Linked DNA regions of Schizosaccharomyces pombe. The gene in region 1 interacts genetically with each later gene. Each region holds a gene or a part of one and is shown on either strand. Other genes may lie near its edges. The genes, in order: SPOM_SPBC15C4.06C and hop1.

Evidence for each region.
Region 2: mutations in SPOM_SPBC15C4.06C (region 1) and hop1 together harm fitness more than expected from each alone (negative genetic interaction), as found in Schizosaccharomyces pombe (2 studies listed by BioGRID).

The regions. Positions count from the first base shown.
Region 1 is NC_003423.3:2,242,363-2,260,617, forward strand, and holds SPOM_SPBC15C4.06C (ubiquitin-protein ligase E3), read right to left. Parts: upstream 11,349-18,255; 5' UTR 11,045-11,348; coding exon 9,374-11,044; 3' UTR 9,049-9,373; downstream 1-9,048. Other genes in the region: SPOM_SPBC15C4.04C (amino-acid permease), read right to left, coding at 469-2,097; dhx29 (ATP-dependent RNA/DNA helicase), read left to right, coding at 4,361-8,647; SAGA complex/transcription factor TFIID complex subunit Taf10, read left to right, coding at 12,840-13,487; SPOM_SPBC21H7.03C (multiple inositol polyphosphate phosphatase), read right to left, coding at 14,282-15,673; ATP-dependent RNA helicase Dbp7, read left to right, coding at 16,452-18,255.
Region 2 is NC_003423.3:3,466,098-3,478,253, reverse strand, and holds hop1 (synaptonemal complex-associated protein hop1), read right to left. Parts: upstream 5,936-12,156; coding exon 5,841-5,935; exon of another isoform or gene 5,793-5,840; coding exon 5,645-5,792; exon of another isoform or gene 5,601-5,644; coding exon 5,432-5,600; exon of another isoform or gene 5,394-5,431; coding exon 5,153-5,393; exon of another isoform or gene 5,113-5,152; coding exon 4,722-5,112; exon of another isoform or gene 4,675-4,721; coding exon 4,449-4,674; exon of another isoform or gene 4,402-4,448; coding exon 4,085-4,401; downstream 1-4,084. Other genes in the region: sct1 (glycerol-3-phosphate O-acyltransferase), read right to left, coding at 259-2,240, 2,293-2,338; DNA-directed RNA polymerase I complex subunit Ker1, read right to left, coding at 3,082-3,525; cullin 1 adaptor protein Pop1, read right to left, coding at 6,584-8,911; beta-glucosidase Psu2, read left to right, coding at 10,725-11,684; mpi1 (mannose-6-phosphate isomerase), read right to left, coding at 12,102-12,156. UniProt on the Schizosaccharomyces pombe protein: Facilitates initiation of meiotic recombination and DNA double-strand break (DSB) formation at DSB hotspot sites by enhancing the interaction between rec10 and rec15.

The DNA.
Region 1 (18,255 bases):
ACTATAATGACAATTACGGTTTATTGGAGAAAGTCCCATTATGTATTTTTGTATTGATATTTTATTAAGGAAGGCTTCGCTCTTGAGTCTAGAAAAATAATTGACTAAGTTATGAAGTAAAAACAAATCACAAGAAAGACTACAAAAGGTTGAACTGTATATTGTAGATTGAAATAGATTGAAATCACAAAAAGAAGGTGGTGATAATTTTAAAAGTAACTAACTTCATGTTCGTATGCCGTTCGAACAAATAAATATCCCGACTAAAGGCATTCGAAAAAATAAATATAGCCATGCTTGTCATTTTAGGAATGTTTAATCGCATAAAGAAGATAATAAAAATGTTTCACCTCAGTAGATCTGCAACAAAAATTGTAATTAACTTAAAAGTTATGTCTTTTAAGAATAACAACAAGAGTAATTTTTAGACGAAGCTTAGGGTAATAAGAAATCTTTGCAGATTTATAATTACTCAGTTTTGAATGGATCCTCAGATTCCATATCGACGTTAATACGAGGACCAATATAGGACTTCCTAGCACCGGACCACCAATATACCAAACTAAACAAAAGTACGCCGGCAAGAACGACAACGGCATAGTTCATGTTTTGTGGAGTGACCGGGCGGACTGTAGGCATCAAGAAAATGACAGATACGAATGCGGTCCAACAAACAGCGTAGGCATTGACAAAATGTGAGGCCCATCCTAAATTCCATGGGCCAGGCTTATAGTTTAATCGTTTACCAAAAATAAGCTTACACGCAATAGGAATCACATAACTCCAATCCAATGCAATTGCACAAACACTGAAGATTGCTTCAATAGCTTCGATACTTCCAAGACCAATGAGATTTAATGCAATACAAAAGACAACGTTAAGCCAAACAGCGATAACAGGGGTAGTGGTTGTTTTGTTAATCTTGTACCAGTAACGAGAGAATGGTAAGGCTTGATCACGAGAGAATGCCCATATAGTTCGAGCGTTGGCTTGCATAGCAGTAATTCCAGTAAAATTAATAATAATAAAAGATAATATAGTAAATGCCATACTTCCTTTCTTGCCCAACACGTTGTAGAAAATCTGGGCAACAGGTTGACCTAGTTCAGAATTGATCAAACTATCGAGATCAGTACCCATGGTGAAGGCTAAAACAATATTGAAAACCCAACCCAATACATAAGTTATAGAGAGAGCAAGAGCAATTGCGTTGGGGGCGCGAACAGCGGCGTTTTCAATTTCTTCAGCAATGTGTGCCGTAGCATCGTAATCAGTCATACACCAAGCAACACTAAGGAATCCAAAAAGGAAAGAAAAGCCAATAGGATGCCACCCACTGCTTGCCTGCACGTCGGTAAAAACATATTTGCCAGTGTTGAACTTTGGACATTTGGCCAATAAACAAATCATACACACGACAAGGACGATCAAGTGAAAGGTGGCATAAAAACGAGTAATCCTGTCTAGCCAACGAGTAGAGAGGGAATTGACGAGGCCATGGAAGACAATTACAGCAGCCATAACCCCTACAATATGTTGATTGGTAGGGATGTATTTCAAATCTGTAGATATGGATACAGCAGCTAACAGCAATTGAGCACAAGACCAATCTGTACTACTGACACCAGCTGCTTGGCCCAACAAGTTCAACCAACCGACGACCCAGGCGACAACGGGCATTGATCTGGCAGGAACTAGGTCCTTGCAAGTAAAATATAAACCACCGGATGTTGGGTAAGCAGAAACTAGCTCGGCAACGGATAGAGCGATACACATACAACCAGCACCAGCAATTAACCAACACCAAACAGCTGATGGAGCACCTCCTGAAATCAAGGGATATGAATATGTTGTGACGACAGTAGCGAAAAGCCCAGAAATTGAAAAAGCAAAAGAAAAAGTGGCCCAGGTAGAAAATTCTCTTTTAAAGACAGGTTTGTAGCCCAATTCAAGAAGTTGGTTGTCTTCATCGTTGCTGACTTCGAAATCGGTTTCAGAATGGGAAACATGTTTTAAGGATTTTAAATTACTAAAACCTTCTTCCTTGTCATTGAACTTTCCTTGTTCATTAACGCTTACGTTAGAAACCGAATCCATACTATAATTTATTTATCCACTTTAACGTTCAAATATGCTTATCAAAAATTCGACGTATTTTCCTTTTTCACCTTTTTTTACTAAAAAACCGAAAAACAAAACAAACAAACAAAAATGTAAAAAGTCAAAGTTTCTTCGCAAAAGAAGAGATTATATACGACTTTCAATTTCACCCTTTGGACGACTCCAAATTGATTTAAAGAAAAAGAAATTTGCTCTAAAAAGAAAAAATCTCTTCTGAAATAATCGCTATATCTCAAATTGACCTATATATGAGACTTTTTATTTCAAGGTGAAAATATTGGCGGAGACTGGCATGAGATTTTTCTATCTGTCGTTAAAGCAATTTTGGCTACCACGTGCGCGAATTATCAACAAATTTTTTATATACTCTTTTAGCAAGATTCTTTAGTTTGTTATCTGCTTCGTAGAATGCGTAGGCAAACACTTCAATTATTCATTGTTTTGGCAACACATTTGCATTAATGAAATACCTAACTAGTTATGCCAATTAGTCTGCTAAACCATTTTTTGTTTCTCTCGGGTACCAGATATTCGCTACAGATGCATAACTCGGACTCTATCTCTTTAAATTTTAACTTTTTAGACAACTTTGGCCTACGAAGAATCGTTCACGATTGTTGAAAAAAGTTGTTGGAAGTTAATATTACGTTGAGCATATTTGATTTGGAGGTGGAACAGAACAACTGGAATTTTTGAAAAACTAAGTATATAAAAATACATGTGATAGTGTGAAATTTTGTTTAAATAGGTTTGAAAAGTGTTTGGGCAGCATTGACAAGTTTGGTCCTTTAAAAGCTTTAAATTGAGTACAACCACAAACACTTCTTTGATAAAAAAAGAGAAGCCAAAAGCATCACATTTCGCTGAAGTGTCCTTTTCTATAGTTCGTTGGAAATGATTATCCTAATGGAACAATATGTATTAATTTGCAATTATTTTTATAATATTCGCTGGCATCATGAAGTAATATCAGTTTTGAAGGCGCTCCATGTAAATTTTATACCCAGCAAAAACCTTGAAGTCCAAATATTCATACATTAAGTATTTACGGAAGCTTTTCTATTACTATTCTTCAAAAAAATCTATACATTTTTGAAAGATCATCAAATATTTATGAATATATCTATGTATATTTCAAAGACTTTCAAATTACTCAATAAATTGTCAAAAGCCGCTTAAATAAGCTTAAATTTTAACGATCAAATGAGAACGCTGAAATTATTTAAAATAATATTATTATAATACATCTCAAATAAGCACTCTGGCAACAATCCCAATGTTCAATGGTACTAAAAATTTAAGCATGTATAAACAATAATTCAAGCTGTACTATCTAATTATGTTGTAATAGCTAAACATTGAGTTTACTCTAACACAGGAGTTTAGGGAAGCTAGTTTTACGGATTGTATTGCCCTAGAAAAAAGTACTAAATTTGAACAGTATAGGCGACTGAGTCGGGATTTTCATTTACCATTGGGAAATATTTTTTTGGAAAAAGCTTAACTAGTTTTGGAAAATAACAGGCGGTAAAAAATGCCATGTATATGTAGTCCTCGGAGGAATATGAAATCAAATTTTTAATAAATCGGTACTTCACTAACAACGTTAGAGAACCTGTTTAAATGTATTTGCTTTAATGCCGTTCTTTCATACTTTACCCATTCGTAACTTACATATAGCCTTTTTATGGATTGCAGCCCATAATTCAATTTTAATCTTGATTATTGGTTGTATAAGATACTTTAATAATTAATTTAATCTCTTTTTTTTATTTTTCTTTTCCCCAATACTTCGAAATTTAATTATATATTGAGTATATTGGTATCCAGTTATATATACACTTTCTCTCTACAACCCACAAGAGAATATTACAAAATATTGTACTCAGCGATTCCCTATTACTATTTATTCGTGGATATTATTTGTTGGACAGAAAAAAAAAAGCAAAAACCTGATAAATCAGCTTATTTCTAAACCATCTGATCGCTTTGTATTATATTTTTATTAAATGAAAATTTATCATTCCTTGTTTCTGGTTTAAAACTCTTTTCTTTTCAAGAGTAAATAATTTTCGATGTCCAATATAGTTTTATTTTAACTGTTATTATTATTACTTTTTTGGCTCATTGTTATTCTAACCTGTGAAGAATATTTTAACCACGAACTGTGAACATTTTCTATTAGACTCTGATTTTTTTGTTTTAAAGACCGATTTAAAAACCGTTTTTGTTCTAAATAATGGCTAAAAAAAAATCAAAAGCTTCGAACTCTGCTCGTGGGTATGCCACTACATCCATTCCATCTCGAAGTGCCTCCTCTCCGGCAAATAAAAATCAGGTTAAAGGAGAGAAAAATAATAAAACCCAAAAGGTTGAGCCCAAAAATGCTTTCAAAGTTGAGAATCAATCAAATGATATAGGGGTTGACACCGTTGATGCATTTGACCATCTCCTACTAGACAAAACGCTTCCAACTATTGATGCCGAAACTGAAGTCATAAAAAATACCTCTTTATCAAACTCAAAGTCATTTTTACATTCTTGGCAAACGGATATAAGACTTCGTAAAAATGACAACGTCCTTGGCTTGACCGAAGATGAAATTCAACAAATTTTGAAAACATTTCGGGACTCTTGGAAATCTTCTCTAAAAGAAAGTTATGCTTTCTCAAATCGATCCAGTTTTTCTCTGAGGAAACGGTATCTTTGGACTACATTTCTTTCACTTAAAGGTATGGGGTTTGAAGAATCAGAAATATTTGGCGCCTTCTCATCTATCCCTATAGTTTCGATAGATGAATATATCACTTGGATGATAACAGAGAATTTAATCAATTCTGAACCTTCTAATTCATCTTTTTCTTACGAAGTGCAACCTAGTAATTACACTACTTTTTGTAGGATGCTCGATGAACCGTTACCTGCCAATAATCCGGTTCAATCAAATAGTAGACTTGTCCCATTAATGAAGGATTTTTCTAACGATATAAAGCACACACCTAATAAAGAAACTCAGCCCTCTAATCAAGTCGATGATTCATTGAAATCTAAGGATTCAAAGCCACTCACAATGTCAGAGGTACTTACCCAATTGCCTGAAGATGACATTCCATTTGATGATCCTTTTGACTTGACTTCTCAATATGTTAAAGTTAAGCTGAAAATGTTACGACTACAAATTGCCAATAAAAAAAATTCAGAAGAATTTAGTACACTGAATTTGCAACTAGAAAGCATTACTAGCCAATATCTTTTTTCGTCTAAAGAGGCAGAAATTGTGTTTCGTAAAAGCAGAATCGAGTTTATGAACAAGTTAAAAGCTCTCCAACAAAAATTAGAAAACGAGAGAATTGTAGAAGAAATAAAAAAAAATGGCATCCAAGAAGATTCTCAAAGCACTGATGACTCCAGTAAAGATGATGATAATAATTCTGAAAGCAATGATATGTCACCACACAACGATGCAGAAACTAGAGCGGATGACGATGCTTACCTTATGGGAGATTTATTTAATCAAGAAGAAGAAGACATTCAGGATACTGAAAATGATTTACTTAATGCAAACTACACACTTCTTCCTTTAACTACCGATAAATCTGGAACACGTCCAAGTACTACGTTGCAATATGAGCTTCACAAAATCGGATCAAACATTAAAGCAGAGTTCAAAACTATGCCAATCGGCAAAATAGGATATCAGTCCACCTGTTTTGTTAGATGTTCTACCGGCCAGAAGACTTTTTCCGACCTGAAAACTGTTTTGCCTACTGCCACATTGGCTGCAGATTATATTTCAATGATAGTTTTATTTAGATTAATGGCCAATTTTACTAAAATTTCGTTACAAACGTTTCCAAAATCGTTTAAAGAGGTTTATGGAAAGTTTTCTGCAGAAAAACAAAACACTGACTTAGCAGAAGATGCAAAGATTTCCGAGAAGTTGGATTCCATTATAAAGAGCAAAGAATTGGAGACCCCAACAAGCGCTACCACTTCTAAACTCATGGCCCCTATGGATAATATTGGCAAGTTTTCTGGATTTGAAAGGCCACCTGAGACTTTACTAAACAAATGGCGACAACAACTTGAAAGTGAATCAGCCGAAAAATTTAAGGTTTTCCGTAATCAGTTGCCAGCTACGATGTTTAGAGAGACAATTATTGATGCTGTCAATAATAGTCAACTCTTAATTATATCAGGAGACACAGGTTGCGGTAAAAGTACGCAAATTCCTGCTTTTCTGTTGGAAAATTCTACAAAAAATGGAAAAGCAGTCAAAATTTATGTTACAGAACCTCGAAGGATCAGTGCCATATCGTTAGCTAATCGTGTTTCTCAGGAACTTGGCGGCAATCCTCCTTCAGCTCGTTCGCATGAGCTTGTTGGTTATTCTGTTCGTCTGGATTCCAAATGTACGCCTTTAACACCTTTAACTTATGTTACTACAGGTACATTTCTGCGTCTCCTAGAAGTTGGAAACGAAATAGAGTCTGTGACTCATCTGATTATTGATGAAGTTCATGAGCGCAGCATTGACTCGGATCTTCTTTTAATTCATGTACTTCATTTACTTAAACAACATCCTCATCTTAAGATTATAATTATGAGTGCAACTTTAAACGCCGAAAAGTTTCAGTTATACTTTGAAGGAAGTAATTTAATCACAATACCTGGTAAAACATATCCAGTGCATAGATTTTATTTAGAAGATATACTTTCCCAGTTTGGAAATGATAAGTCGTTCGGTAACGCTGCCGGACAGGATGTTATAGAGGAAGATGACTATGAAACCGACCAACAAGATGCGAGCATCTCAAACAAATCTGCGGAGGATGCCATTGTTGAAATGAACCTAATTCCAGCTTGGTATAACGAGAAAGCCATTAACTATGGTTTAATCGTTTATCTCTTAAAGTATATATTCACTGAAGGAGATCCGAAATTCAGTAAGTGTGTATTAGTATTCTTACCTGGTATTTCGGAGATCCTTCGTGTAAAATCTCTTATCGAAGATATGCCTATGTTTCGAAATCATCGTAAGTTCTGTATATACATGCTACACTCTACACTATCCTCTGCGCAGCAACAGTCCGTTTTTAACATCCCTCCCAAAGGGTGCCGCAAGATTGTATTGTCGACAAATATCGCTGAAACTGGTGTTACTATTCCAGATGTCACTTGTGTGATTGATACAGGAGTACATAGGGAAATGCGTTATAATAGTAGAAGACATCTTTCTCGGTTAACTGATACATTTGTATCTAAGGCCAATGCCAAGCAACGTAGTGGACGTGCTGGTCGTGTTCAGGAAGGTATCTGCTATCATTTGTTCTCAAAATTCAAACATGATACCCAATTTTTGTCTTACCAGACACCTGAAATTCTGAGACTTAATCTGCAAGAAGTTGTTTTGCGAGTAAAGATGTGCCAAATGGGTGATGTACAAGATGTCTTAGGCAAGGCGTTAGATCCACCTTCCTCTACCAATATTATTCGTGCTTTAGAAAAGCTTCATCAAGTGGGAGCGCTCTCTGAAAACGAAAAATTAACAAAACTCGGCAAATTTTTGTCGCAATTACCTGTTGATGCAAATTTAGGAAAAATCTTGGTTTTGGGATGCTTCTACAAATGTGTAGATGCCGCTTCTTCAATAGTAGCCATGTTAACAATCGGTTCACCTTTTAGGAAATCTGTTGACAATGAATTTTCTGCAAACAAAGCCCGATTATCATTCGCTAAGGAGAATACCAGGAGTGATTTAGTTTTGATGTATTATGCTTACTGCGCTTGGCGAGAGATTTGCCTTTCACCTTTAGGCCCTGATGAAGATTCTTTTGCCAAAGAAAAGTACTTAAATTTAGAGGCTTTAAGTATGACAGAATCACTAAAAATCCAACTGCTTTCTGAGTTGAAGGATATGAAACTTTTAGGCGCTTCGGATGTTGATACTTGCAAAAGCCTAAAACGTTCAATATGCCGGCGTTTTGCCGTTATCCCCAAAGAGCATGATATTAACTCAGGAAATGCAGAAATTCTGTGTGGCGTAATTGCTGCATCTCTGTATCCAAACATTTTAAGGTATGATTACGAAAAAAGACAGTGGTCAACCTTGAGTACCAACAAGCGTGTTAGAATTTTAGATGTATCGGTGAATAATAGGTCTGAGTTACCTAACATGCCGTCCAAATTCGTTGCTTACACGAACATGATGTCTTCCACTCGAGCTAGTGAGTATGTTAATGAAACTACTATGGTTACTCTTCGCCAGCTTCTAATGATGTGCGGCCTTAAAGTCGAAAATAGAGTATCAGTTGGACAAGCAAAGCTTGACAACTTTACAGTATATTTTGAAAATGTTTACGTTTCGGCATCTTTAAGTATTTTACGTCGCTTTATTGAAACTTCTCTAAACGAATTTTTTGCTGAACCTGATAAACGCTTATTGAATTCCCATCTTGAGGTTATTGTTAACATAGTTTCACGGTTAAATTACGGAACCAAATTTCAGAAACGTCTCAAAGATTAATGAAAGTATCAAAAATGAAATATCAGAAAGTTGGTTTTCACATATCTGCTTAATGACAGGCAAATTTTCTTTCCATTTGGAAAATGTAAGAATTATGTTGGTTGAGCATAAATGTGTAAAATGGAGTTATCTAAGGCTTCATTGCAGAAACTGATGGCTTTTCTATTTTATGAGACACAATTCAGAGTATTTAATTTTCTCAAATCCAAAAATGTCAATTATTATAACTGTATATCGTTTTCTTAGAATATCAAAATAGGTCTCTAAATGAAAAGAAAAAAATATTTACATATGCAATTTAGCATTAGACCGGCTAATTTGTAAAATACTTAATAGTTTTTTTGTACCTTCATCATAAACTAGCAAGCAACATGTGTATTAAACTTTTTATAGTAAACAATGACATGTATAGTAAGCTTTTATATAGTACTATAGAATTCATACGATAACACAAATAATAGATTAGAACGATGAGAAATAGATAATTAGCCCATTAAAAGATGCAAGAAAATTATGAACTTAAGGAAGCGTAAGTTTTCTTCGTCGTAGGAAGAACTGAACAATAAGTATGAGTATGCGTATGCGTATAAAGACAAGCAAAATATTATAACGTAAATGAATGAGAGTCGAACAAAATATGCTAATATAGATTATAAAAAAAATTATCCTTATGAGTAGAAGTACAGGAATTACTCAACCAATGGAGAAAATTCATAAATATGCAGTTTAAACATTGTCCTCGGAAGCATTTTCCAACATGTTTGTAACTGACTGTTTACATAGGGGACAAAGATCCGAATTTTTTAATAAATAAGGATCAATGCAAGCCGGATGAAAGATGTGATGGCATGGCAGTTCTCGATAAAGAGGACTTTCTTCTGAATACTCACACAAGCAAATAGTACACTCCCTCTGATCGAAATACTTACTCCCTCTTTCGGCTGTAGTAACCACATTTCCCTGTCCATCAAAACTTTCTGATTTGTCTAATTTCCAATCCTTTTCATAAACCAACTCATCATTAGGATTGGCAAGATGAGGCCCCGAAAACATTCTAACGGGCAAAGTATCGAGCATTTCTTTAGTAACACGATTTTCTGGTTTGTTTGGTCCAATATTCACAATTCTTTCTTGAACAGGAATTCCATGACGATTTAAGAGTCTATAAAATCCATTCATTGCACCAGAAAAGTGAAGGCAAATAAAAAGGCCTATGACACCGATTAAACCCAATAACACACCAATGAATATATAGAGGCCAAGTAGCTTTGGTTCCTTGCTGATGATAACGCCCAAACGGGCCGTAGCATCAATGTTTCCAAAATATTCGACTAATGCTCCACCATCCTGCACCGAATTTAAAGAAGAAGCCGAGTATTCGTTGAGAATCTTTTCAAAAGCGATGCCGTTTTCGTAAGATATGAGTGCCATTGGTAATGTTTCAAAGGTAATCATATCTACAGCATCTTCAAAGTGGTCAAAATTGGTTAATGAATTACTAGCAGTGCTTGCATTATAAAATAGTATTGCCTTTGCTCTATCCTGGACAGCCTGCAATACATGCATTGGAGCACAATAGTCAAACGGCGCGAATGCGATTAAGCCAGAACTTCCCATATTAGAAACATCTCTAAACCATACGCTTCCCTTGGTATCAACTTGAAGTGACTCGGTGTCATTGCAGCTACCATAAGGAGTAGTTTTATATATAATTCCACGAAAATTATTCTTCAGTTTAGACAAGCTTTTGTAATACTCATTCAAAAGGACCGTGTTGTCAGAGTGGAAGTAAAATGAGACATTTTTTGGAAGATTTGAAACAACATTCTTGTTGTTTTTAACAATAAGAGTAGTTATGGTTAGCGGAAAGAACTGATTGTATTCGACAGCATTCATAATAATAGATGAATTTCCGTAATATGAAAGACCAGAGCTAACATAATTAGATATTGCAGTATTTGGAGCATTGCTGGAATAAGCAGGGTAATAATCATCATACAAGGAGATTGAACCAGAAGTAGAGGACGACCTTGCAGAACTAGTACTAGAATCTGAATAAGATTTGGGATTTGATTCACTGGAAACAGAATCCGAGTCTGATTCACTAGAACTGGACATAGAATCTGATTCATCATGACTAGATCTTGAAGAAGAAGTGTGTTCACTAGCATGCCCACTAGTATGGCCTCTTCTTAATGATCTAAATGAATAAGAGATTGGAGTTGGCGAGATACTTTCGTCCTTTGGCATTCGATATCGCCTTCTTTCATTCCATAGTTTACGAATTGCATTAAACAGCCGCTTTCTCCTCTTTACCTTATTCTCTTGTGAAACATAGCCTCTGTAAACTGCATTGCAATCCAGATGATCAAGCAACTGGTTATTACACAGATGCATAAGAACCTAAACAAACTTTAAGGCACGAAGAAACACAAAGAACTAGGAAACAGGAGGTTTCAAGATTACCAAAAAACAAACCTGCTTTGATACCAATCTTTCTAAATAATGAATCAAATTTAATGGTAATTGAAAGGTAAGCTTTCAATCAATAAACAGACGTTGAGTGGTGATATCTCTAAAGCAGGAATTGTGGAACACAATTAATGAAATTTTTTAAAGGAAATTTCAAAAAATTAGAAAGTAAAAAGTGTGATTCTTTTAACTTATACTAGCTCAAGCTTGAAAACCACAAATTGGTGGTGGCTAAGTAATGAACATCTTGAGACATATTGCGTACATAGTACACAATACATGTGATATACATGTGGAAAGCAATTGTTATTATATTTTCACTATGAGCAGTATACTTCAGTGAAGAAGTTTTTTAATGAAGGAAAAACTATGAAACAAACAAAGCATAAAGTGCAGGGCGAGAAAAACAATCGTGAAATAAAACAGCTTATTTGTGTTTGGTGATTCGACAAGCGCTTTAAACAGGTGTGAGAAACTAAATAATAATAAATGGTAATTATAAGAAATAAAAAAACGAAGAAGTGATACTTCAAAAAGGTAAGCATAGCTGGAGAATTAATGATCAGAGAGAACTATAATAAATAAATAAAAAAAGGATCGCTTAGCGATCAATTAAACAATAAGATATCCTCCTTAAACATAAGAAGCAATTTACTAGGAATACGTTATAGGATTTAATGTTGTTTGAGTATACTTTGTAAACTAGTATAAGGATATAATTATTGTGATATGCTACCTCGTAATTTAGTATAATTTTATGGAGTTCGTTTAGTACAGCGGTTACATATTTGTTTAAGAAGGCTAAGATATAATATACTATATAATTTTATATTTTACTGTATTAACTTACAACTGAACTAGGAAAGGGTAGTTTGTTCGGTTGAGATATTTCTTCAATAATTGTATTTTCCTAAAGATGTTTTACTCGTCCTGATCATTAAAGATCAGTAGTATGGATCCGACAGTTTTGAAATGAAAATAACAATAATTAGTAGTGATATCTAATGTAGCTTTGATCTGGCTTAGCAATACATTATTGGTAAAGTATGGGGAAATGGATTATGTAGTTTGTTATGAGAAATAAAAAATGTGCACCAAATTAATCTCAAATATCCTTTCTTTGCGTAGTAAATTTTTTTATTTGTTTTAAACACATATTAACTGGAAGTCATGTTTGCGCAAACTTTAAAATGCTCATCTCAGCAAATGAATAACATTGTAGTTTGAGAATAATAATTACTTTTGAATACATATGTTCAAGTCCAAGAAGGCTGCCATTCAACTCTAAACTGAACATTTGCTTATAGAAGCAAAAATTGTAGTAGATACCAACTTCGCTCCGAACTCTATATAATACCGATTTTAAACAACACTTTTTACCAGAAGTTAATTAATCTTATATATTAATTTCTATTATTCAACTAGCATTATTCCAAGAATTGGAATTATTTACTTTTCGATCTTAGCCCTTATATACGTAAATAACAATGCTACTTTACCACGAATACAGAATATAGTCCACCTCCACCATCCCTATTTTAGTTGGCCTAGTGGTTTCTTGAAACACTGGATTAAAGTATTAAAAGTTAAGTCCATAAGCTAGGGAAATAAATTTCCTATTATTTCCAATAAGTCGAACGATAAATCAAGGAACCACGGATTTGAATCAAGTTGCAGAAAGACATTCTTTGCTTTACAACATCGGTCAAATAAAGAAAGAATGAGTGACATTAACAATAATGAGCCAGCTGAAAATATTGAACAGCCCAAGCAAGAACCAGAAGATGGAAATAATTCGATGAGTGTTGATGAACAACCCGAAACGTCTTCCACAAATCTGCCAACTGGTGACAATCTCGCCCCAATGAGTGTAGAATCCCCTGCACATTTAAATAACGAGGATTCTCCCAAAAGCGATGATTCTAGAGAAAGGCATGGCTCGAATTATGTTATAGAACCGCATTTAGAATTGCGAGATATGGCCAAAGACAAAACACTTGAAAATTTCTTGGCCCAAATGGATGATTACTCTCCCTTAATTCCAGATGTGTTATTGGATTATTACCTCAGTTTATCTGGATTTAAATGTGTTGACCCACGCTTAAAAAAGCTTCTTGGTCTTACAGCTCAAAAATTTATTTCTGATGTTGCTCAAGACGCCTATCAATATTCTAAAATCCGAACCGGTAGTAGCAATGCATCTTCAACTACGTTTGGTGCGCAGAATTTTGGAGCCGGAGGCGCTTCCGGGATTGGATCTAGCGGAAGAAGAGGTGACCGTGGAAAAACCGTGCTCACTGTAGATGACTTAAGTGCCGCTCTTAATGAATATGGAATTAATTTGAAAAGGCCCGATTTCTTCCGTTAAAGACTTTTTATCCCACTAAGGCCACTTGTGTGAGACCCTTACTTAATGCATTAGTGGAACTTTGTTTCTGAAATCTCATTTTCCTATAAAATTTTTGTTTACTAATTGTTGTTAATTCTAACCTTTTACACTTTTTTGAAATTATTATGTATTTTGAAGATAGCACATTCGGTTTGGCGTGGCATTGTTGATGATCATAATTTCAAAACATTTTCTCATATCGATCCATTTCAGCAGTAGTTTTCATATGAGGGATTATTTATCTTTATATTTTATAAAATTTATCATATGTATCATAGTTACTATTTTCTCGCTATCACTTGCTGAATTTGTTTTACACTGATACTCTCATTCAACATTGATGTAGTAAATGTTTTCTTCGTTATGCTACTATCTGCATTTTGAAAAGCACTTCTGAAAGTGTCAATTACGCGGTCGACAGCTGCCTCATAGTATGTCAGAACCTAACATGCTTCTAATTATAATATGCATTGTATATAAAGTAAAAATTAATATAATTACAGTTACCAGTACTCTTTCAAATAATGTAATGCTTGAAACCTTAAACAAATACAGACTTCTCAAGAAAAATCACTGCCTTCATCTGGCAAAGGAAGATTATCAGTTCCTACAAGCAAACATCTTGTTTTGATTGTAGGAAGGAAAGTACTTGGTATTCCTCTTTTAATTAAGTCTAATATTACCCAAAATTAAATAAATTGATTATAATAAATTATAGTTTATCCTATTCAAAGGATCCATTCTGTTTATTTAAACATTATAGCGCTGATAGTTCAAAAGTAAATGGTAACGTTGGTAGGACGCGCTTGACATTCTGTGTTGAAAATGGAAATACCATTAGAGGTAGAATTTGCCCGAATCGGTGAATTCAAATAAGCCTGTAACTCGCAAAGTCCATCAGAAGTTCCACTAGGTCCATACCCACAATCGATAAGGGGATAAACTTGCTGGTTGACGAGATGCCGTACATAATATTTGCTGTCAGAACAAAAGAACAACTCAGTAATTAAATTTCCAGCGAAGGGAACGAATGAAGAAGTTTTCTGGGAGTATGTATAAATGTTTTTATCAGTCGGCAAAGGATTTTGCGGAGTAATGTCAGGAAAGAATCCCAAAGCAGCTTCCACAGGAATGATATTAGAATCATGAGTAAATGCTAAAAATACTTTACGATCGAAGTCGGGATTAGTCACATTACGAAGTGAGTCTGCAAGATTATTTATATAGGCCCCACCTAAGGTTGAAGCCCATTCGGAAACAGGACCACCTCCATATGCCTGATCGAGATCTGAGTCATATTCAAAGTTCAAAAATTCTGATGGGGTAAATATGGAACAAAAATCACTGTGATCTTTTATAGCAATTTCATATTCGCAGATATAAAAGAGACTACGAACGTCATTGATCGTAAGTTTATAACTGCTGTCAAAATATTTAGCCAAACGATTCACAATGGGCTCAATAAAAATATTGCGCCATACAGCATGGGCAGCATCAGTTGCATTTTTATGAAAGTTATTATCTTTAAACACGGGACATGCGTTGTACATGGATAAGGAGTTGGCACCTGCTGCCTTACCTTCAGAAATAAGGATAAAATTGGTTTTTTCGTACATTTTATCACCAAATAATCCATAAGTAAACCATTTTGCAGATTCAACAACACGTTCCTGTTCAGCCGTATTTATGTCGTAAACGTATGAATCAAAAAGTTTATAGTAACGCTGGTATAGCTGACGACCCAAGTCGAAAAGTTCGAGACGACCACGGCTGGAAAGTTGATCGGCATTTTCTGCATCTATTACAGGAGTCCACTGCTTAATAAAACATAAGGGATTCTCGGGGTAGCTGAAGTTTACGGGTATTGAGCCGTTTAAAAGCTTTTCCTGAAAATTATTTAAATATTGTGAACTATATACATCAGTGGCAGTTACATCGCCCGTTGGGTTTCTGGAACCGTGACGTTGAAGAAGATGAACTTGTTGGATCTCACAGGTTTCAGGGAAAGCAGAATCAAGACCATCAAAGTAGGGCTCATGATAAGGACTTAATGTTCCGAGATGTTCCTTGAAGAAAAAATTGCTTTCATAATCCTCAAACTGAACATTATCGGCATTGACGATGAACGCAGCTAAGAACCAGAGAGAAATGATACACAACTGCATCACGAAAATATATCAGCCAAACGAGTAAAAGGCCTTCTTAATTATTCGATTAGTAAAGCAGAGCTTTTGAGGAAGAAAAATTAAAGGATCAAAGTAAGAAATTGATTAAAACGAGTGACAGTCCATTCAACCAACAAACTGCTGGTCAATTGAGGTTAGGAGCGACTTTGAAGGATTAATTGAAAGGTAACCATTAAAAGATACAACGTAATGGTCCTATACGTGTAATTCGTGTATCTGCCAACAAAAGCTGGTAGCTTCCACTAAATTGAAATCTGCTGCCGATGCCGTTCCAGTGAAAACGTAAAACATCATGGCAGACGCGAACTGTTAATGTACGTTACAGTCAATACGGATACAAATAACGAGTTTCGACTAAACATTTTAACACGTATAAGAATTTCGATGTTAAAGTTATTTATAGATGTGCATGAGCGCGGTATTTCCTCCTGAAGCATATTATCTTATAAAGAAACATATATATTGCGCTTATTGTTATTCTTATACGCAAAGTATCTATTAATATTTTTAAATACAAATTAGGTCAATAAAGTCCGACTGAAGGAGTAATTTATGTTTTTAACAGTGCTTCTCTAGGTTTAATATTACTTAAATCACCTATAGCTGTAAAAAGGTAATAAATGACCTTTTGGAAGAATACTTGAATGCGTCTCAAGTATTTAACGCGGTCTAGTATAGCATAGCGTAATGGAGTACAATTAACTAAACTAAGCACGGTGGAAGCACAAGTTTTCAAATTTTCATCAACTGTAAGCAAATGGCGGACGAACCATTGCTTCTCAATTTTGTTGTTGATAATGCTCAATCAAGAAAGCCTGAAGCCTTGAAGTCTAGTCGTCGCTGGACTGATCGCGCTAGAGATAGAAAAAGGCAAAAACGCAATTCTAATGAATCATCAAAATCAACCGTTAAAAGAAATTCAGGCACAAATGGTGCTTCCACTGATTATAAAAATTCACAAAAGGAAAAAGTAATAAATCCTGTGTTTGATCCTAGAAAACCAGCTCATGAGCTAAAAGGCAACAAGCGCGATAATACTTTTGTTACATCTTTGTTTACGGGTGATGATTCTGAGCATTTTTCACAGGACGTTGGTCAAAATCTTGAGGATAATCAAATTAGTAATATTGGGACTACAAAGGAGGCATCCAACGCACCTATTAAAACTACCAACTTTGCTGGTGTTCAATTAGATACTCAACTGGCTGATCATTTAAATAATAAAATGAACATTAGCGCTCCCACTGCTATCCAAAGCTGTTGTCTTCCAGCATTGCTAAACACAGATGATAAGGATGCGTTCATTGAAGCACAAACCGGATCGGGTAAAACTTTGGCTTATTTACTACCAATTGTGCAACGATTGATTCGACTTCCTAAAAACTTACACACCCGTACTAGCGGTATATATGCTGTGATTATGGCTCCAACCCGGGAGTTATGCCAACAAATTTATAACGTTGCTAACAAGCTCAACAATAATCCGTTATCACACTGGATTGTCTCCTGTAATGTGATAGGTGGTGAGAAGAAAAAAAGTGAAAAGGCTCGCATACGAAAGGGTGTTAATATTTTAATTGGAACGCCTGGTCGTTTGGCGGATCATTTAGAAAATACGGAAGCACTGGATGTTAGTCAAGTACGATGGGTCGTTTTGGATGAAGGTGATAGGTTGATGGATATGGGGTTTGAAGAAACTTTGACTAAAATTTTATCTTATTTGGAATCACAAAGCAGTATTATTAAGAAGGATCTCAGTATTCCTTCTCGTAAGGTTACAATGCTTTGCTCCGCTACAATGAAAGATACCGTAAAGCGTTTAAGTGATTCCGCTTTAAAAGATGCTTTGTACTTAAAATCATCTATTGTGGAGGAAACCAATGACGGTTATAGCCAGGCACCCGAGCAGCTTCTTCAAAGATATGTTGTTGTTCCTCCAAAACTGAGGCTTGTAAGCTTGGTTGCCCTATTGCGAAGTCATGTTAGATCATATAAGAAAATAATAATTTTTCTTTCTTGTTCAGATAGTGTTGATTTTCACTTTGAAGCTTTTAGATGTGCGATAAACGCTGATGAAATGGAAGAGGCCGTGAAAGAGAAACCGGACTCTGAGGGTGATATCATTTCAAATGCTCCAGCTCTGAGAATAGATGGCAAATCAAATGTATACCGATTACACGGTTCCTTGTCTCAACAAATCAGGACTTCGACGCTGAATCTTTTTTCTTCAAGTGAAGATTCTGGTTCACATATACTTTTGTGTACAGATGTGGCAGCCCGTGGTCTTGATCTGCCAAATGTTGATTTGGTTGTGCAGTATGATGCTCCGTTTAGTACCGACGATTATTTGCATAGAATTGGCAGAACAGCTAGGGCTGGACACAATGGTGCAGCTATTATGTTTTTACTCCCGAAGGAAAGTGAATATATTAATTTGTTAAAGTCTTCAGTTAGCGCTAATATATTGGAGCAGCCTAATGGTCCATCTGGGTTGTTGAGTGCTGGTTTTTCGCAAGGTAAAACAAACACCAATGATTGGCAAGATCGTGCAACAGAATGGC
Region 2 (12,156 bases), 1.2 Mb from region 1:
ATTGTTTTACCCAATACATTAATACATTTGATGTTATGAACAACAATTATACTGCTTAATTGTTTTTCAAAAAATCACATAACAAACCAACAGAAATTTATTTCATATTAACGACTGAGATACACAATATAATTTTTGGCGTGAGTAGAAGGAAGATAAATTTACAATCACAGGAGGGTACTTATAACCATTTTAAACGGTTACGCTTTTAGGGAAAATTTTTCATCAATTTTCATTAGGGTCAAACTTTTCGACTGCTCAGTCACTTAATTCTTCGTCAGATTCACTGAATACTTCTTCAGGTGGAGTATCACGAGATCTGATTTCAGTCATACGTTGTCCCATTCGTTGGCGCAAAGCATTTCGAATTAATTTAGCCTTATCGTTTATATCCTTCTCTTCTTCGTCCGAAGGTGGAAGAGCAGAGGGGTTTGGTGAATATAAATAGACATTTTGTAGAGGAGCAGGAGCTGATACTTCCGAATTCAAATCAGTGTCGTGAAGCTGGGAAAGATTATCAACATCCGAAGCTACAGATGAGCTAAGACGTCTCGCAAATCTTGAGGGACGCTCAGGTTTCTCAATGGTTGTAGTAATCCGGTCAGGATCAAAATCAGGAAATAGTTCAGGACCAAGCTTGTTAATCAGGTCCGTAACTTCTGCAACCAATTGCTTTCTTTCATCCTTTAAAATATATACAGCATTTGCCTTTGAGGGTATCAGAGCAAGAAATAAAGGTCTAATAGATTTGTATATATCCACAGCGACTTCACCAAACCTTAGGGCTGCGTAAGTAACCATTGGAAAAAGAAAGGTAGAAATAATTGGGACAGTATAAACAAATATACTTGAATGAGGAATGAGCTTATAGGAATATATATAATAGCAACATAACAATGCATAAAAAGAATAAAGGATTGGTGTCATACCAAGTGCAACCAGCAACTTCCAAGTAGCTAAGATATCACGTCCCTGGATTTTAACAGAAGAGGCTTTTAGGGCTGCAGCTGCTTTTTTGACGCTGATCCGATGAGCGGCAATAAACACCGGGGAAAACAAAATGGCACCAGGAAGTGCGCCTAAAGCAAGAAGGAATAGTTTGCAACACCGATAAACAAGTTTGTACAAAATCATGAATCTTGAGTATTGTAACGATTGAACTTGATGATCACGTAATCCTAAACGATATAGCTGACGATTATACAAAAGGATTTTATCGTGGAGACGAATTACTCTGGGATCATGTTTAAAATGGTTATAGCCAACAATTAACTTCCTATTTAAATCAACGACTTTAGGGAGAGCAAACTGTATATGAGCTGGCTTATATAAACGTCGGCAAGCTTGAATGACCATTAAAGTTTCATAATCCGGCGCCTGAACAGTAACAGAAAGAAGAGCATCATATATCATATCTAGTACTCCTTGAATAGCTTCGCGACGTTTCTTTGCTTTGTAAAGCTCAACATATTCCGTAGGGATAGACAGTGGGGAGCCAAACTCTAGCACAGCACGTGAGCGAAAGCGATGGGGGTGGAAATAATTCATTCCACAGGGAAGAAGCTGAAGACCACAATCCGGATGCTGAGAAAGAGTTTCCAACGCCATAATTGCAACGCCAGCTTTAAGCGGTAGCATTTCAGGACGATCGTGAGATCCACCTTCAGGGAATAGAGCAATGCATGCACCCTTCACCAGACGTCTACGGACTTCATTATAAACATATGTTTGATCAATCTCAGGAGCCACCTTGTAAGACGACCCTTCGGGAGAAAGCAAAACTCTCTCAGCATCTTCTCCACGAAACTCACGTTTAACATATAATAAGGTATCACTTTTAATGGATGCTATATGAGAACTTCCATAATTATTAGGAAGAAGGAGAGTATCACCGACTGAATGCTTTGTAAACAGAGTATCTTTTCCGTGAATAGCAGTCTTATCACCTTCAGCTACGACAAATATCTTTCCTTCTCCGCGAATAGCTAAATCTTGCGCCCTTTCGACAGGAATTGCACCAAAAGCTCTCGACATGAGGCCAATAAATCTTTGACGATAACTTTTAGCAGCAACCAAAATGGAAGTCCTCCTACCTACTTCTCTACGAAGTTGTAACATCAAAATCAAAGGATCTACGAATTGGTTCGCATGCGGCGCGGCCACTAAAATTAGAGGTCCCTTGCGAGGAACTCTAAAAGAGCCTCGCGTTTTAACTTCACGGAAAAAGAAATCGATTAAAACTGGGGTTCATTAATTAGCGTTCCGGTTGTAACTAAATGATAAGTAACTTACTTGATAAAATCCATAAGCACGTATCATAAATAAAGGTATGTTGCATTATAATTGAGTGAACGAACCCGTCTTCAGGGTTTCAAGTAAGATTAAACGATACTAGTAAAATAATCGTGAGTGTTTGGGAGGGGCCTCCTGGGTAATTCTAATAAGGTCTACGTAAAAAAGTAGGTCTCACTATATAGTACGCTGAAGTTGTATAAGGCAACGCGTTGTTTCATTAGATAGTTATAAGTCACTAAGATATACATGTTAATATCAATCGACATAAATCAGTATTAGTAGAAACATTAAAGATGTGATGTGAAAGAAATAGTATATTAGGATTCACAGAGTATTGATTTGAAAGATTGAGTTTAGTAATTGATCTCGCCATGATCTTTGTTAAATTGTTATTTAACAATTATTTGTGACAACAATTTCGACAATAAAGCCTATATTAAAAAAAAAATCAATTAAACTATGGGATAAACAAGAATTTAATGATGAATTTAAAATCTTTAAGCATAATCTGATACTTGCAACTGAGAATGAATGGATAAGGACTTACAAAATATGCAAACTCAAGTACTGCGAGTAAAAAAGTTGCATTGTAGTTGTCCTCAAACACATGATCAAAAAAAACCTTAGGATTTTTTCTCTCACGTTTAAAAGATTTAATAAATAATCGCAGCCAAAAAACCCAATTTTTTTAATGAAGCGCAAACTATATTCGAAAGCTCATATGATGTTTTAGAAATCGAACAAAATAACTGAACCACAAATAATCAACACACCTTTAAATTTACTCTAACTCTGTTCTTTTTCCCCTACACCTTGAGTCGTATCCGCTTTGGCCTTACGAGCCTCTTCCTTTTCCCGTCTCGCAGCCTTCTTTTTTTCCTTTTTTAGACGCTTTTTGGTTTCTTTATCCAAATGCAAATCATCGTTCTCTTCCCTTGCATGTTTCAGACTTTCCTCTTCCTTGGTTTCCAACATTTCTTCAGGTGGTATTATTAATTCCTCTGTGGGAGGGCCTTGGACAGGTAAATTTAAAGAAATAAGCGGTATCTCTTCTCCTTTCAGGTACATCAAGACTCTATTTAACTGGGATAGAACACTCTCACTTCCAGATTTTTCATCTTGGAAGCGCTCAATCGTTTGGATGTAGCGATTGAGAAATTTACTAGACGCGTCTTTGTCTAGCTTTTCAGACTTTCGCAAAATCATTTTAGGTGGACATTCTGTCGCCATGTTTAAAACGAAAATTCTCCTGAATAATGCAAAGTTCTCACGAACACAGCAATAATGTAACTTCAGTATCAAATGGAAAAGTTCAAGTCTAATGTGTAACGTTCTATACTTTTTTTTTTTGACATCAAATCACCACACTATTCACACATAATGCAATTCAAGAAGTGCTTAAATTAGCTACGCAATTTCGTATTCGTTTAGCGCTGCGTAGAACTGCGATAAAATTTACTTGTGATCTAGTTTATAGTGGTATGCATGATTCTTGTATGAAGTCTATATTCATATCTCATGTTCGTATAAGCTCATAACTGAACCTCATTCCTCATTTCAATTACCGCCTATTTATAATGTCGTAAGCATAGTTATCTACGACAAGAAAATGAGTTTGTATGAATATTGTCTCATATCTAACGGATGATAACAGAACATGTTATTTATGGTAATAATGTAGTATAGCTAATAATAAATATATTATGTAAGTTTAAATTAATAGTTTGAGCAAATAGATGCAATACTGATCCATCTCAAATTGTTTGAAGATAGGATAAGTCGTATAAGTTTAAATCCTCAGAGGTTTCATGGTGTCTGTCTCTTTAGTGTTTGAAGTCTTAGAAACCTTTTTTGGTCTTTCTATTACTTCCATTCTTTCGGGCCGTAGAAAAGATCGCATATTTACACGTTGATTCTCTTGACGATAATTTTGAAAATTCAGATGAGATATCCATCGCGACGGTGTAAAATACTTCTCACGAAGATATGACACCATTTCAGGGCTTTTATTCGTAAAATATATCCATTTTCGTTTTTTTTCCTTATAGATTATGTTTTCGTTAACTAATCTTTCTTCAATTCTTTTGGCATCAGCATAGCTGCAATCTTAGATAATGTTAGTATATGGTCAATGAGTTGGTAAATTTCCTTACTCAGTCGCGCCGCTAGCTTTTGGAACCCTTGATACTCTGACGCCCAAATACACCGAATTGCTCGTCTGTATGCGACCAACATGGTCATTCGGTCATACAAACTAGATTCAGAATCAACTAACAAACATGTATAACATAACAATTGGTTTGGTTGGCGAGGATCAGAGTCACTCTCAAATCCATAGCAAGCACAGTGAACCCATCCATCACATCTTTCGCATTGAAACTGTGTAAAATATTGTTAGTCTTTAGCAGGTATAAACGATTACACACCATTTCTGAGTCTTCCGTCGAATCACCGCATTCACAATTCAAAAGTGCTTTTTTCTTTTCGGCTTTGTCAACTTTGTCACTCCCTGAAATGTTTTTTTTTAACCAATTGCTTTTCTTTACTTCTTCACAAGGATTGTTATTTTTTATTTCCCTTAATCCACGACTTTCATTCTGCATTTTCTCACATTTTCCTTGACTCAAACTTTTTTCAACTGATTGTTCATCCAATATTTGAGTTGAGCCTATTTCATCGTATTTCAAAGGCTGGAGGAACTTTTCGAGCTGAGAATCAATTTTTTCTTGAGAATCAAATAATGATGATTCTTTATTAATCATGATCTTCTCTGTACTTATCGGTACAAATGCATGAGAACAATGTGAAATCGCAATACTATAGATTAGTAACTTGAAATTTGTTTTAATTTACTTACCCATTGTTTGATTCATAAAAAGATACAATATCTTTGAATTCTCCTCGATTGAGCCAAGACATGCAATCTTTTGTTTCTACGGTATTTAAAAACACGCCAGCTTTAGTTGCTTCTCCTTTTGATAATTGAAAGCGTTCCATTTTTGTAATAATTTGTACGACTTTTTCTTCGTCTTTGCACTCTGTTTTTACGTTACCACTTAAAAATAACTTTATTACAAACCTTTCTGAACGTTGATAAGCTTGATAAAACTCTCATGAAGTCTGTTAAAAAATTTACAAACAAAAGACTCACAACATATTTTCTCTTCACTTCCAGGGTTAATTGTAAATGAAAATATCTCCTTTTCAACCGCGTCATCCTCTAATATTGACTTGCATTGTGACGAAATAATCAGGTAAACAGTAAATGGAACTTTCATTGATACAAGTGAGAAAATATAAGTTTTCTAAAATATTAGTTTATTTCTTTAGATAAGTTTTAAACACTCACCATCATTTCCAAAAAACTGTCTGCTTCTTTGTCCACTCCAGCTTGTAAAGAAACCACAGTAGGTTTCAATTGACAATCAAAGTCAGCTCCTTTAAAATGTTCAATTTCGAAATTGACTTTCTTGTAGCAGTTTTCATTGAAAAGAGCACTTGCCTTCTGTTAGCTATTTTAATTTAAAAATTATATGTCTGCGTACCGCTTATAGCATAATGTTGATATCGCGAAGAAAATTAAATTTTTAAGAGTAAAGTCAGACTTAGTTTGCAGAATTTCCTCTTTGTATGAATTCATTTGTCATTTATACTTAGAAGTAAAGGGTATTTGATAAGTTGATATCTATATATGGTAATTTTGTGAACGCGTCGAACGCGTCTTAAGTGTACGTATATTACAGTCCCACCTGTGGTTTTCCAACACTTTAAACTACACTAAAATGGCTTACATAGATAAATGGAATGCGAAAAGCATGTTTTACGATGAAGACATTTGGTAGCTTATGAAGTAATGTAAAAGCCTTTTGTTAAATTAAATGTCTTTTTACATTTACAAAGCTAAAATGTTTGTTTTTTTATTTACTATAGTTTGCTAATTATAAAAATATAGTACGCTTTTGGGTAGAATGGACGCTATTTGAAGCTAAGGATTCAAGAAATTCGCTTATCCCTTTGGTAAAAAAATTTTGGCCTCAACAAACGAATTTAACACTAAATAATTTATAAATGTAGAATAGATCATTTAAAAAAATATTATTTTGCATTCTTATTAGATATTTAAAAAAGAAAATTATGAGTAAACATTTAAAAGTCAACAAACAATTAGACAAATATTATATGATAGAGGAGTTTCCAGAATAAATAGCATGAATCTATTTCAGTTTGGAAACGTAAAATAAAATTTCGAGATCTTTTATAGATTTCTAGTATCTCAACTTATAAAAGCTCAAGAAGATTTAGTAGATCCAAACTCTAGGACCTCGATCCAAAAACGGTTATTTCTTAAAACAGCAGCCACACATACATTTTCATTATAAGCAACTTGCCAGATTATATCCAAATCAGTCAATAGGTCTCTTACTAACTTTCCGGAACGAATGTCCCATAACTGTAGCGTACTATGGCTTCCACTGACAACTTTGCTCTCGTCGTGTTGAAAAAATATGTGTCCCAAAGGACATTTTAAAATATCTCGACAACTTCCGGTGTTTAGATCCCAAACTCTCAACGATGTATCAGGAGGAGCAGAAGCGGATACCAAGATATTTTGGTTAAATGTAACTTGACTTACCAAATTCGAATGACCATGAAGGGTCTGTAGAAGTTCTCCAGACTCAAGGTTCCAAATACGAATTTTAGCATCCGTACCAGCGCTGATACATTGTTGACGAGAAGGATTAATTGTGACACTGTATACTCTCCCGACGTGTCCCCGAAGAACATGTAAACAAACGCCAGTAGATGCCTTCCATACTCTAAGAGTACCATCATAACTGGCACTGACAATCAAATCTCCAAGACAAGCAACTTCACGTACCGAGTCCGTATGACCACGTAATGTTCGGATGTAAAACGGATTGGTCGTAGCTGAAGTAAAGTCATTATTCTGATCAGGATTTTCATTTACATTAACAAATGGTGGATCGTCAAGGCATGGAAGACTCCATAAACGGATCGTACAATCCCTTGAACTTGAAATTATATACGGAGGCATTGAATTAGCATCATTTGAAGCTGGTCTGTTTTCTTTTTCCACATCATCAGTATCAGTAGTACTTTGATTGCCTTGAACTATTTTGATACAACGGATTGTTGACGTGTGTCCATAAAACACCTGTTTACATTCACCGGTTCTAAGGTCCCAGACTCTTACTGTCCTGTCTGTGGAGCCAGTAACCAAAGTATCCCCAACGTATTCAAAAGTCCAAACATCACCTTCATGCTCTTCTAAACTGCGTATCAGGACACCTGTTTTCGTGTCATATATATTAATTCTAGGACTGCAGGTGCTAACAATTATTTTGTCATCATCAAACTGAAGTTTGGTAATAAGACGAACTCCATGAATTGGGAATGAACATCGCTTAATTTTCTCCGGGGCATGGAGCCATCTTTCACGAAGATTAAAATGTCTAAAATAGACCCGCTTCATTATCGCACAGGCTGACAAAGATTGTTCTAAACACATCGTACGGATTTTACTATCAATTGAATCCCAAAAGAAACCATCTTTTAAAAAGAGACTTTTCCAAAGTTCTTCGTTGGACGATACCAACTTATACCAGTGATGCGAAACTTGCGAAACTGCACACAATGAAGGTGCATCTAAATGCGTAAGCACTAAATTTGTAATCTCAGCCGGAAATCCAGTTAAAAAGTTCTTTTGAAAGATAGGAAGCAGAATTTTGTGAATATTTTGAACAGCATGTTTTCCACATCGAGAAAGAAGATGAAAAAGTAAGTATTGACGAACACTTTCGGGTAATTTTTCGAAGGAAGAAATTAATTGTGCTAATTTCAAAACAGCATTTTTTTGAGAGCTCAAATGATTAGAAGGATGAATGCTAGGATTTTCTGAAGAAAAATCATATATGACAGGTTCATGCAAAGAATTATGTGAAGATGAAGATGAATGAGGGGGAAAAGATTGACGGGTTTTGGAATCGTTGCCGAGTAAATTAGGAGAAAAATAAGAGTAATTAACAGAATTATTTGGTGCATCAAGTGAGAATGTTGTTTCACTAGCGACTTCCTTACTGTCACAGTTGTTTGGGTAGAAAACGTTCGAGTAGTTAGTAGAAGGAAAAGTTTCATTCTTTTTATTCCCATCACTTTGAGAATTGAAGAGAAACCGCTTATTAGCATGCAAATTAGAGCTGAGACTAGAGTTACGGCGTTTAAGGCACTTTTCGCGATGCTCTGACGGCAGCTCACAACTCAAATGGGGCCGGTTAAGATCACAATGTAGATATAAAAGATTTTGCAAGTTTTCCAAATTTTCTTTATCAGATAAACATCGATTGTTAGTAAATATCATCGATTGCTGACTTCCCTTGCTATCAAATTGTAGACTAACACGACTAAGCTCCTCGGGAATTCTGGTCATTATATTATTTCCTTCCAGGAGATCTTTTTTAGTGGAACATGGAGAAAATCTCTCGACATTTGGCCGGGGAGAAGAGGAAACATCAATACTCGGTGATACCATAGTTGTCTCACCGAAAAATTCATTGGAATCTAAAACAGATAGGCTATCTTTTTTCTTCTCATTCATTTCAAGTAGTTTACAGACACTTAGTAGAAAAGTATTTGTCAAGTTCTTTTATGATGTTAGAGAACCTGGTTCAAGAATCGATACTGATGAATTTACTTAAAACAACTGCCCGTTGGGAAACATGTATATGAAATTATTTTGCAAATAGTTATCGTCTTAATGCATTAGAGCAATACTTTTTCTTGGTTTTTTTGAAGTTCAGCGAGATAGATCGTAAAGACCATAAACTCTTGGCAATGAATTTTAAATTCACTCTACGCAAGCGGAGGTGTAAGTAACACCAGAATAAGTAACAATTTTACTGTTGATTAAGAAAAGTTTTTATAGTTTATGGTAAATACGACTAAATCGCGACATAACAATAGTTCAATAAGAAAAGTTATATGACTTAGTTATGGCTCCTCAATATTATTTTTTTTTACATTATTTGCGATAGTGTTTTAATTGTATACCAGATATTAACCTCCTCAGCATTTTCAAATAAATTCTCTAAAGACAAAAACAATGAACACGTGAAGTATTCATATTATAAAATTGTCTTTTCCGTTGCGTTTTTGCAGCTAAAGAATGCAGACACAATAGTAGCTCGCGAATTTCATTACACGCCAATAAAGTTGGGAAAGAGATTACCCTCCCCTGTCATATTCTAAATGACACGGACACATATAATAATTTATTAATAAAATTTGAGCATGAGCGTAAAATGTAAAATGTCAGACTAAGATGGCGTTTCTAGTACATCATTTTCTTAGGCCGTTGAAAGAAATTTTTTGTCTCGTCAATGACATGCATCGGGTAATTTCGGCAGGCATTGGGCTATTATTCGACTTCTCTCCATTCAAAATTTGACTTAATCTCAGTATCCAAAGAAGCGTCAAATACGCTACCAAGATAAATAATTAAATTGTTATCCGTAAAAGTTCTTAGCATAGCAAACCGATAAACCGAGTGTAAACACGATATTAATTAATTAATATTATATCATATTTAATGAGCTGCAGAACATCATTTGCCGAAATGCACCGAGCCTCTTATATCTAGGATGATTTGTATGTACCAGATTACTTTCCCAAGAGATTATTAAATATATTTAATAGTATTAGGAGAAAATCAATATAACGTTGAGTCGAGCCAACGTATTTGTAAGTTAGGTATACAGGGATGTCATTAGGCTTACGTACACCGCGCAATTCAATTGCAAAAGGCCCAGGGGACCAAGAACTTCCTTATGATAAGAAAGCTAAAGCGATAAACAAAAATTAAATTACTTGGCTTGGAAATAATAATAATTTGCTTTGAAATGAATGATTGAACGCCCCGCGACCCCGGGACAGTATAAATTTTCCTGGGGTAGATCAAATTCACGCATTTAATTGGTTGAATTTATCAACTGACTTTTAAGTTCATTTTTAATTAAGTTATCAGCCAATGAATACAAAGCCGATAGCAAGGCAAGCAATGATTGGAGCGCAATAGTTGACTGTTTTGGCGCTAATTATTTCGGGTTTATGGTTAGAAATTTTCTGAAAAAATCAACGTTGAAAACTTACAGGCTTTCATGGTTAATTAGTGGCAAAACGCCACGGCTCTTAATCAAAAGATGGTGAAGTGCTTGAAAAAAGAAATGTATATAAAGCTGAGCTGATTTTTAGGGAAAAGCCGTGAGCTGAAATTAAACAATCAGAACCGCAAAAGGTAAAGACCATTATATTCTTTACCATCTTTCTTTTATTTTCTAGTATCAAGTTACTAGCATATCCTATCGTTTATAAAGTCAATCGTTAGATTCCTGTCAAATCTTTTAAATCTAAAAATGCTCTTTAACAACTTTCTTTGTTTTGCGGTTTCCGCCATTCCTTTGGTTTCAGCTATGCCTCTTGGTAATGCTCCCTATCACCATCACCATCATGCCGGTTTGAATGCTAGCAATATAACTGTTGGTGTCAATGTCACAAACACTACCGCTTTTTCAAAAAGAGACGGTGGTTTTCCTGACGGCGTATACGACTGCTCCTCTTTTCCTGATGATCAAAATGGCGTTGTCCGCCTTGATTACTTAGGTTTTGGAGGATGGTCTGGTGTTCAGAAGAATGATGGTAAATACGGAACAGCTTCTACATGCCAAGATAACACATACTGTTCCTATGCATGCAAGCCCGGAATGTCTAAGACCCAATGGCCGTCTGAGCAGCCTGACAATGGCGTTTCCGTTGGTGGTTTGTATTGCAAGAACGGTAAATTATATCTCACCCAGAAGGATAATTCTAATCTTTGTGAAGATGGAAAGGGTACTGCCTATGTTAAAAATACATTGAGTTCCAATGTCGCAATTTGCCGTACCGATTACCCCGGAACTGAGAACATGAATATCCCTACCAATATTGATGGTGGTTCAAAACAACCTCTTTCTGATGTTGATGAAGATTCATACTATAATTGGGGAGGAAAGAAGACATCCGCTCAATACTATGTTAATAAATCTGGCAGAAGTGCAGAAGATGTCTGTGTTTGGGGTAATGAGGGCGATGATTATGGCAATTGGGCTCCTATGAACTTCGGGTCTGGTTACACTGACGGCAAGACTTGGCTTTCTATGTCTTTCAATCCTTTATCATCTGCTAAACTTGATTACAATATCCGTATTAAATCTGATGGTGGGTCCCTTAGTGGTGATTGCTACTATGAAGACGGATCATTCCATGGTTCCACCGCTGACAGCAGTGGTTGTACAGTCTCTGTCACCGGAGGCAATGCCTACTTTGAGTTGTACTAAATTGCGTGTTAAAAGTGGATGCTTGGTCAAAAAAATTTGTTTATTAGAATTATTTTTGCATTCGTTTTACTTTTGTCATTCCCATTTTTATGCTTTATTTCGTTGTTGATTAGTTTTCGCATTTTTTTTCTGGTTTCATTTTTTTTATTTTTTTCATTTTTTTCATTTTTCTTCTGGATTCATTTTTTATTTTATTTTTGGGGTTCATCTTCTTCATTTCATTTTTTTGTCTATATTTCTTCTCTACATTTTGTTACATTTCTTAAAAACGCTCATTATTTATGCATTGCATCTACGAAAAAATAAATTTGTTTTTACTTAATTTTGTCCATCCTATCCAGTATCGTTAAAAATTTAAAAATTCCATGTATTGTTTTATTATAATGGTGCTGATAGTAGTAAAAAGCTGCAGAGTAACTAAATCTCACAGAATGCCTGGTAAACGACAACAGGTTCTGAAGTCGCAGAGATC